2 linked regions of the Danio rerio genome follow. The protein of the gene in region 1 interacts with the protein of each later gene in a pairwise test. Links are inferred from orthologs where the notes say so. Each region holds a gene or a part of one and is shown on either strand. Other genes may lie near its edges.

Evidence for each region. The genes of interacting proteins can lie anywhere in the genome.
Region 2: the proteins of txn2 (region 1) and rbm45 interact in binary tests that used the Homo sapiens proteins (3 or more experiments, as listed by UniProt). The two-hybrid records come from large-scale screens. The link is inferred for Danio rerio from reciprocal best matches to the Homo sapiens genes TXN2 and RBM45.

Annotation. Positions count from the first base shown.
Region 1 is NC_133178.1:3,501,021-3,506,206, reverse strand, and holds part of txn2 (thioredoxin, mitochondrial), read left to right. Parts: intron 1-896; coding exon 897-1,156; intron 1,157-3,916; coding exon 3,917-4,040; intron 4,041-5,186.
Region 2 is NC_133184.1:1,467,024-1,472,209, reverse strand, and holds part of rbm45 (RNA-binding protein 45), read left to right. Parts: coding exon 1-98; intron 99-1,966; coding exon 1,967-2,093; intron 2,094-2,168; coding exon 2,169-2,291; intron 2,292-3,660; coding exon 3,661-3,837; intron 3,838-5,186. UniProt on the Homo sapiens protein: RNA-binding protein with binding specificity for poly(C). May play an important role in neural development.

The sequences.
Region 1 (5,186 bases):
TTTAGACAAATATGACTTTGAATGTTTTAAAATATGATCAGCATCAGTGAACTTGTTTGTTCCTAATTACCATTTTCCTTCAGCTTAGTCCCTTTATTCATCAGGGGTTGCCACAGCAGAATGAACTGCATACCTTTCTAGAATGTTTTACACAGCGGATACCCTTCCAGCTGCAACCCAGTACTGGGAAATATCCATACACACCACTAATCCACTATGGCCAATTTAGTTTAGCCAATTCAATTACAGGGCATGTGCTTGGACTGTGGGGGAACATGCAAGCTCCACACGGTAATGCCAACTGGCTGAGACTTAAACCAGTGACCTTTATTGCTGTAAGGTGACAGTCAGGACCGGCGCGTCCATTGAGGTGACCTAGGCGGCCGAGATACCTCCCTTACCATCCACATCCTCAGTTATGTCCGCGACACCTCCCTCACCACCAGCGTCCTCAGATATATTCGAGCATAGACGACAGAATAGAGAGGGCGGCGTCAGCGACACTTCCCTCCCTCCCTCCCTCCCTCAGCACCCGCGCTTCCTCAGTTATATCCGCGCATAGGGCGGCAGAATAGAGAGCGCGGTGTCCGCGACACCTCCCTCCCTCCCTCAGCACCCGCGCGTCCTCAGTTATATCCGTGCATAGGGCAGCAGAATAGAGGTCCGCAACACCTCACTTTATTTTCATAACCGGTCACTTTCGTTTTCACATTGGGGTTGAGGGCGGCGTGATCGTCCTCTGCCTACAGCGGCAGTTCAGCTTGCTCCGGCCCTGGTGACAGTGCTAACCACTAAGCCACCTTGTCAGCGTTGTTCTTATTTACTGACTGAATTAATAGATGTTGTGTTTTCTGATGATTTAACTCTCTTTCTCTCTCTCTCTGTGTGTTTCTCAGATGGCGTTCCGGCTGCTCGCGCGGAGAGTTTCTCGCATCTCCGTGAAGGATGTGCGCGTCCTCGTTCTCCCCAGCAGCAGCTCCAGCAGGTCCTCGTTCTCCTCCTGTTTTCGTGCCGCACCGCCTCTCCTCTCACGCTCGATCCCGCGACTCCCGTACATCACCAGCAGAAGTGTGTCGTTTAACGTGCAGGATCACGACGACTTTACAGAGAGGGTGATCAACAGCGAGCTGCCCGTGCTCATCGACTTCCACGCTCAGTACGTAGACGATCATTTCATCAAAACAACAACACAACAATAAATACAGTTGAAGTCAGAGTTATTCGCCCCCCTTTGATTTTTTTTTTTTTTTTTTTTATATTTCCCAAATGATGTTTAACAGATTTAGGAAATTTTTACAGTGTGTCTGATTATATTTTTTCTTCTGGAGATATTTTATTTCGGCTAGAATAAAAGCAGTTTTTAATAAAATAAAAAAAAACATTTTAAGGTCAAAATAATTAGCCCCTTTAAGCTATATTTTTCACTAAGAGAATAAGTGGGGGGAAATGGGGGGGGGGGGGGGGGTAATTCTGACGGGCTAATAATTTTGACTTAAACTGTATATACTCACATGAAAAAATACTGTATTCATTTGTATTAAGTTCATTTGTATCGTTATGGCAACAAAACTATAGTATTTAATCTGTTGTTTTTTGTAATTCTATGGTTGCTATGGTAATACAACAACTATAGTAATTAAGCTGTTGTACTGATTCCATAGTTGCTATGGTAACACAACGGCTATAGTAATCTGTTGTGGTGATTTTATAGTTGCTATGGTAACAAACACAGTAGTTAATATATTGTGGTGATTCTATTGTTGCCATAGTAACACAACGTCTAGTAATCTGTTGTGGGGATTTTATAGTTGCTATGGTAACACAAAAACTATAGTAATTAATCTGTTGTACTGATTCCATAGTTTCTATGGTAACACAACGACTATAGTAATCTGTTGTGGTGAATCTACAGTTGCTATGGTACCACACCAACAACTAAACCAAATAATCTGTCAGGGTTATTCCATAGTTGCTATGGTAACACAACAACTATAGTAATTAATCTGTTGTGGTAATTCTATAGTTGCTATGGTAACAAAATATTTTGGCCTGATGAATATTGATTGATATTTTGAAATGAATATTATTAGCGCTGTCAAATGATTAATTGCATCCAAACTAAAAGTTTGTGTTTACATAATGTGTGTGCGCATATATGTTTCTATGCTTATTTATATGTAAATACAAATACTTAGATATATTTACATTTTTATATTTTATAAATGATAAATTATTATTGTTATATGTTATAAATTATTTACAAATATTCATATTTAAATATTATTAATAATAATAATATTTTTTTTTTCAAATAGAAGTGTATTTATATACAAATTATATAATAAATATATGAAATATAAACTTTTTTATGTACTGTACGAACTTGCAATCTGGATGAAATTATTTGCAATTAATAGTATGATGGTGATATACAGTTGAAGTCGGAATTATTACCCCCCCTTTCATTTATTTTTTCTTTGTTAAATATTTCCCAAATGATGTTTAACAGAGCAAGGAAATGTTCACAGTATGTCTGATAATATTTTTTCTTCTGGAGAAAGTCTTATTTGTTTTATTTCAGCTAGAATAAAAGCAGTTTTTAGTTTTTTTTAAACACCATTTTAAGGTCAATATTATTAGCCCCTTAAAGCTATTTATTTTGTATTGATAGTCTACAGAACAAACCATCATTATACAATAACTTGCCTAATTACTCTAACCTGCCTAGTTACCCTAATTAACCTAGTGAAGCCTTTAAATGTCACTTTAAGCTGTATAGAAGTGTCTTGAAGAATATCTAGTCTAATATTATTTACTGTCATTATGACAAAGATAAAATAAATCGGGTATTAGAGATGAGTTAATAAAACTATTATGTTTAGAAATGTGTTGAAGAAATCTGCCCTCCGTTAAACAGAAATTGGGAAAAAATATAAACAGAGTCTCTAATAATTCTGACTTTAACTGTATAATAATACAATTAAATACTATGATTATATATTATTATATCTTTATAATAGTTATGACATTAGAAATGATTTGTATTGTATATGTTTATTAGTTCTTTAAATTAGTCTTTTACCAGCTAAAAATGTTTTGTTTTGTCCTTTGCTGTGTTGTATCAATAGGAAATATCAGCTTACATTTCCCAACATTATTTTTGCTATTAATTGTAATAATCAAGTCAGATTAAACTGAAAAGATTTATTTCAGAATTATTAGACTTTCTAAGTATTTTTAAAAACAGGAAAATATTTCTATTTACATAAAACCATTTTATCAGGTGAAAATACTACTAGACCGAGGCGTTTTCACAATACTGTATATACAGTTGAGGTCGAATTATTTCCCCCGTTTATTTTTTCCCCCAATTTCTGTTTAACAAAGTGAAGAGTTTTTTCAGCACATTTCTAATCATAATAGTTTTAATAACTCATCTGTAATAACTGATTTATTTTATCTTTGCCATGATGACAGTAAATAATATTAGTTTAGATATTCTTCAAGACACTTTTATACAGCTTAAAGTGACATTTAAAGGCTTAACTAGGCTTAATTAGGGTAACTAGGCAGGTTAGGGTAATTAGACAAGTTATTGTATAACGATGGTTTGTTCTGTAGACTATCGAAAACAAATAAAGCTTAATGGGGCTGATAATATTGACCTTAAAATGGTGTTTAAAAAATTAAAAACTGCTTTTATTCTAGCTAAAATGAAACAAATAAGACTTTCTCCAGAGGAAAAAATATTATCAGACATACTGTGAAAATTTCCTGAATCTGTTTAACATCATTTGGGAAATATTAAAAAAAGAAAAAAAATCTGTGGGGGGCGAATAACTCTGACTTTACCTGTATCTGTAAATATTTGATGAATCTGAATCTGACATAAAGGTGTGTGTTGTGTTTGTTGTAGATGGTGTGGTCCCTGTAAAATCCTCGGCCCGCGGCTGGAAAAGGCCATCGCCAAACAGAAGGGTCGAGTCACCATGGCCAAAGTGGACATCGATGAACACACAGACCTCGCCATCGAGTATGGGGTACGCTATCCGCATGCTCAAAACATAATGTATCTGAACATATTTTGGACATTTAAAATACATATAAGATAAGATTTCCCTGCATCACTAGATTAATGGCAAATAAACAAAAAAATAAAGCTCTTCTGAAACTTTAAGAGAAGTAAATAAATCTTAAAGAGAATTTAAAAAAATAATGACAAAAACAAATGACTAAAAATGAACATGAAATTAAAAACAGCTTTAGTATCAATAATACTTTAATATAAATAAATAATCTATAAATGCTTTAAATAGTTACAAATTAAAATTATATAAATAAAACTAAATTAAATTCAATTTAAAAAATCTGATTATTGACTTGCTACACCTAATCTAAACCTGAAATAAAAATAATTAACATTATGGACATCTTTAAAAAATATAAATAATACACTCAATTTGCGATTATTACTGTTTGCGTTACACTAGCTCCTGCTTTCCAGCCATGCGCTTCCCTTAAAAAGAGGTGCAACAGTCCAGTTCTCAAAAAACAAACTTTAATCTGGTTGATGGATGTAGAACTTTCAAGCATTTATAATTGGTGTGCTGATAGGTGTGTTTGTGTGTATGTGTGGTTTCCTATAAATGAAGAAAATACAAATTACCACACATTGAGAATTACTGAAACTAATCATGTACATTTCAAACATATATGTGACATTTAAATGATATAAATTGTGTAACACAACAGAAATCAACATGATGACGCTGTTATAATAAACATACATTGCTTATAATGGCATCATTAATGTGTTGTATAGTCACAATAATTAACAAATAACTCACAAATCAAGTACTGTTCGTTGCAGTTGAAAAGTGCATGCAAACAACATATTGGAGTTAACTTGAACATTTGTATTGGTAAGCTTAAGTGAGCTCACAGTGAATGCCTTTGAGGCAGAAAACTGCTTAGTCATCCTCATAGTAATATAATGTAAGGAGAGTCTTTCCAAGCTAAATATTGATAATAAGTCTAACATTAAGCTTTAAAGATTACTTGTCAATAACGCACACAATAAGCACAAATTATAGCAAACACCAAGAACAATCTTCACTCCGTCTCGAGCACGCGTGATTTACAACAGTGTGACTAACTGAACGCTAACTAGATGAAGTGGTTATAGA
Region 2 (5,186 bases), on another chromosome or scaffold:
CTGGAAGCCATCGAGATGTGGAGGATGAGGAGCTCACAAGAATATTTGTGATGATCCCGAAAACATTCACTGAGGATGATTTAAAAGAAACATTTAAGGTATGGCGGGGTGTTTAACCTGTATAAAAACAAGCCAGCATTTTATGTAATTCAAAGATGTCTAATAGACATCTAAACATTAACTAGACTAATTATCGTGCTCGATGCTTCATCCATGTCTGGTGTGAACCATAGACTGTAAAATATATGGACGTAGTGTTCGTGACGTCACCCATAGGTTTCTAAAGAGAGCAAAAGAAGCCACAAGTAGGCGTGGCCAACCGTCACCATTTTGTTCGCGCGTCATCACACCCACGGCGGGATACCAAACAAGGGCAAAGAGGCGGAGAGTGAGCGGAGAGTTTAGCTTGGACCTGGCTCAGACACACTTTACTTTGGGAGAACGCTTAATACTTCATCACCTGCGACTCGCTTGTGTTCTGACCACTTGTGCTTGGTTGTACACTATATCAATAAAGTGTTTAGACTTTTAAAAACACTGCTGTAATATATTGAGCCTCTAAACATTGTTCTTATGACGTTTTTCAACAGGAGGAAAACATGAATTACTTCCAAACACTTCAGATATAGTCTGTGTTAGTTAATGTGAGACTATTGATGAAATCCAGCATAACACTGTATGACAACGCTTCAGATGACTGATCTAGAGCCTACAGCTAATCAATCTGACAGATTCTGGAGTGCATTACAGCTCTAAATATAAATATAAACGATTAAATAAAACAAATACATGTATAGAGATGGTATATAAGTATATAACTTTACTCACATGGGAAACGGAGGCCACGTGAATGGTTTGTGTGCACAATTAAGTGCACTCAGCATGCCATGCCATCTAATAATTGTAGGAAACAAGTCCAAAAGGCAGTTGACTGTGTAAAGCTACACAAAACAACACAAAAATACGATAAATATGCCGAGATCAGTGGCTAATCTGCAGGATTCAGCTGAGGTGACGTGACGGCGACCAACGAGATCTAGCTGTCACTCAAGTGGCCACGCCCTTAATTATGCAAACTTAATATAAAGGAAACGGATGAGTTATAAAAAAATTCACCCCCTCACAGTTGTCATGAAGGGTAATATTAGCTGTATTAACCAAAATCTTTTTTTGTAGCAGGCTGTAAACACCTTTTATCTGCTGTAGAGTTGGCCATTCTAACAGTGCGCTCAATTGAAATTTGCTCTGTTTTGGAGCAGGAGCGGCCAGGACTAGCGGAATTTCAGATGGATTGCAGTTTTAGTTACTTCCATATTGGCTTCCTGAGGGAGAGCGGGAGGTTGCCGCTTGATGTGAACGCACCATTAGAGTACTTTTTTTTTTTTTTTTTTTTTTTTTTTTTTTTGTACAAATGACTGAACTAAATTTAAAAGTTGCATGCACATACATTAATTAAATTGCTTAAAAATGCTCTCAATTTACAAAAGCTCCCTAAATAAAGCAGAAGATTACTTATTATTGTTTATTAAATTAATTATTTTATTTTTATTATTTTGACAAACACATTTATTTAGGTTTTGTTTGAGAGACTCGTAATTAGGAAGTGTTTTTTTAGAGTCAGCTTTTTTGCACAAATGCTCTCATTTTACAAAAAGCACCCTAAATAAAAAGGTGGAACATTGCTTATTATTATTATTATTATTATTATTATTATTATTATATTTTAACTATTTATCATTTTGACGGACCTATTTTTTAAAGTTTTGTTTGGGAGACTCCTATTTATGAATCTGGCTCTAGGATTGGGTCACAGAGCTGAGACTGTCAGTTTTGTCAAAGTAGCACAGATTATGTGGTGACTATAATCATGTGCACATGGAAAAGGGGTTAAAATTGTTCCCAAAATGAGAAGGAATGATGCTTATATATTTATTGACATATTCTCTTTCTCTCTCTCTCTCTCCAGGTGTATGGAGATATAGAGTACGCTATCATTATACGAAATAAGACCACTGGTGACAGCAAAGGTCTGGGATACGTCAGATTCCACAAACCATCACAAGCTGCCAAAGCCGTTGAAAACTGTGATAAGAGTAAGAGTCTCATTCTCCATGCTTCACCACTGCCTGTTGTATTTAGATGTGCTTCTAATCCGTCCTCCTCATCAGCTTTCAGAGCTATTATAGCAGAGCCCAGAACCAAGAATTCCTCAGCAGACAACGACTATTTCAGCAACCCCAGGACGACGGAGCACTCCACCAGTGAACTAGGCTCCAGCTCATACGCATTTGGTATGCATCATCTGCACAGTTAGGGCACTGCTCACCCAAAAATGGAAGCTTCATTTACATTTACAAGATATTTTGAAGAATGTTGGAAACGAGCAGCCATTGACCTCCATCCAGAAATAATATGGAGGTCAATGGGTCTCATTCACTAATAATAATAGTGTACGCTTCTTATACTTAGTCCAACAGCGGTGTCTACTGGTGGATGAAAGTTCAATGTGTGTTTAGTCTATCCAGCTCACAATGTTGAATTAGTTTAAATTTAACTCATGTTTGACTCCAATTTTTCAGCACTTAGATGCGAATTTATCCTCAAATGTGGCGATGCGCTAAAATATTTGTCAAACAAATGTTATTTAAAAAAGCATATATACTTAATAAAACGGTAAAAGAGACTAAAGTGCATGGTCTAATCGGAAATAGTGGAAATTAGTTATCTATTTCATTCATGCATAGATAGAAAAATTAATTGATCTGAAACTTTTAATTGCATTTTTTTTCCTGTAAATAATAAAAACTGTATCAGATTGATGAAAATGAACCTGAATACCTGCGTGAACAGGGCCACAATGACTTTTGTTTTTACATCAAAACAATTGCATACAGTGTCTTCTGTCATCAAAACTGGCAAACGTGTCAGAAAAAACTGCTCAATCTCCACGAATATTTGGTTCGCTTATAAAACAAATGTTGTCTGGTTTAGTGGTGTTAGTAAAGCATAGAAAAACGCAAAGCTCTGCATTCCTCGATTAAAAACACTTGCAATCTAGACGCAGTCACCTCATGCTTGTGATGCGGTACAATCCGTAAACATCCTCCTATTAAAATAACGGCTTGGTCTTTATGCTGTAAAATCACTTCGATATTTAATTATTGATCGTGGGCCAAAAATATCGTTATCGTGATCATAATACGATTAATCGTGCAGCCCTACATTACATTAAAACAGTGGTTCTCAAACTGTGGTATGTGTACCACTAGTGGTACGCGGACGAATGAAATGTCATGTGCATGCTATATATATATTTCAAAATTTATCAAAAATGATGTATATAATATGCCATATATGACATATAGCCTATATTTCTGAGGTAATCTGCCACGTCTTTTTTTAACTGTGCAGAGTTGTAGCTGCTTTACTGGGCCTACTACGCTACTGTATTTTAATACTGCTCATATTGGTGGTACTTGGAGAGACTATTTTTTTCTGAGGTGGTACTTAATGAAAAAAGTTTGAGAACCAATGCATTAAAATGAGTGAAGCATGACCGAACTGTCATTTTTTTTGCCTTGTGTTTTTGTCTGAAGATGAATGCTGCACAGCGTTTGGTTGTCTGAAGGTTTATTGTCCTCATCTGGTGTTTTCCTGCAGCTCAGGAGTCCAGCAGCTACAGCGCAGCAGAGTCCTATAGCTCTGACATCATCACCCGCTGCCTGATGGTGTCCTCGCGGGTGTCCGTCTCACAGGAGCAGATCTACAGCCTGTTTGACCTCATCCCGGGCCTGGACTACTGCGAGATACAGAGAGATCAATACGGCTTCAGCAAAGGTGAATAACACTGCAGTCCTTTGTCTACACTCAAGGAAAAAAAGCAAAAGCTGTCACTGTGGTGAGGAGGAAATGCTAAATATTGACATGCTTAACAAGTCACTCATTCATTTATTTTATTTTCGGCTTAGTCCCTTTATTAATCCGGAGTAACCACAGCGGAATGAACCGCCAACTTACCCAGCTCGTTTTTACACAGCGGATGCCCTTCCAGCCGCAACCCATCTCTGGGCACACACTTATTCACACTCATACACCATGAACAATTTATCCTACCCAGTTCAGCTTTACAGCATGTGTTTGGACTGTGGGGGAAACCGGAGCACCCGGAGGAAACCCACACGAGTGCAGGGAGAACATGCAAACTCCACACACAAACGCCAACTGACCAAGCCGAGGCTCGAACCTGCGACCTTCTTGCTGTGAGGCGACAGCACTACCTACTGCGCCACTGCATCACCCGCTTAACAAGTCACTTAAAGGTATTTTTTTTAATCAGTATGTTAGTCTTAGGGATATCTATAAGCTAATGAGCTCCAAAACGATGACAAAAATTACACTTAGAAGATATAAACTTGACATAAATCACCTCGTACTTCAGTTTCTCATCAAATCTTCTGACCAATCAAATGCTCTATTGTAACTGATATGCCCCACCCCCTTCTCATTGCCATCGCCGATGGCTGACAAACTTCACGATGCTGAGGCGGCATCGTGATCCATCGCCCCGCCCACATTTATATTGATATATAATTTATTATTTGCATGTCATCTTAATAGCAATAGTGGTCTTTTCATGAGCTGTGTTAAATGTTACCTATAGCTGCCGCTTGCATGGCTGACAGCATCGACTACACAGCACCTCTCACGTTTAACATGTGTAGATTCAGTGGCAAACGCTGTTACCTGTAAACCCCGTCCCACAGACTTTACAGTGAATGCTTTAGTCATTTTCATAGCGGACTTGAAGCCACTGGAAGTCTTTCACCACTCTTGGAAAAGTGTAGATGGTGGATTAACATTCAGCACATGATCACTGATGAGATGTGTCATTATCAGTAACTTTAGGTAAATCTGTCAGTGTTATTGTCATTCTCTCATCTTCAGCGCTTCACATTTTCGCGGTTGTCGCTCCTGTCAACTGAAGACAGAAGGCATTGACGGAGTGATTGACAGCTGATATTAACCAATCATTCACGTTCAGTTCTAGAGCAGTAAACCAATAAGAAGAGGACAAAGAAGGCGGAGCAAGCATTGCAGGCTTTTTTCACTTCAGCAAGTTCACATAACAGCTGTTTATCTGTTCCTGAGTGCTGCCTTTGGCATTTTTTGGTGCATTCTGCATAAAT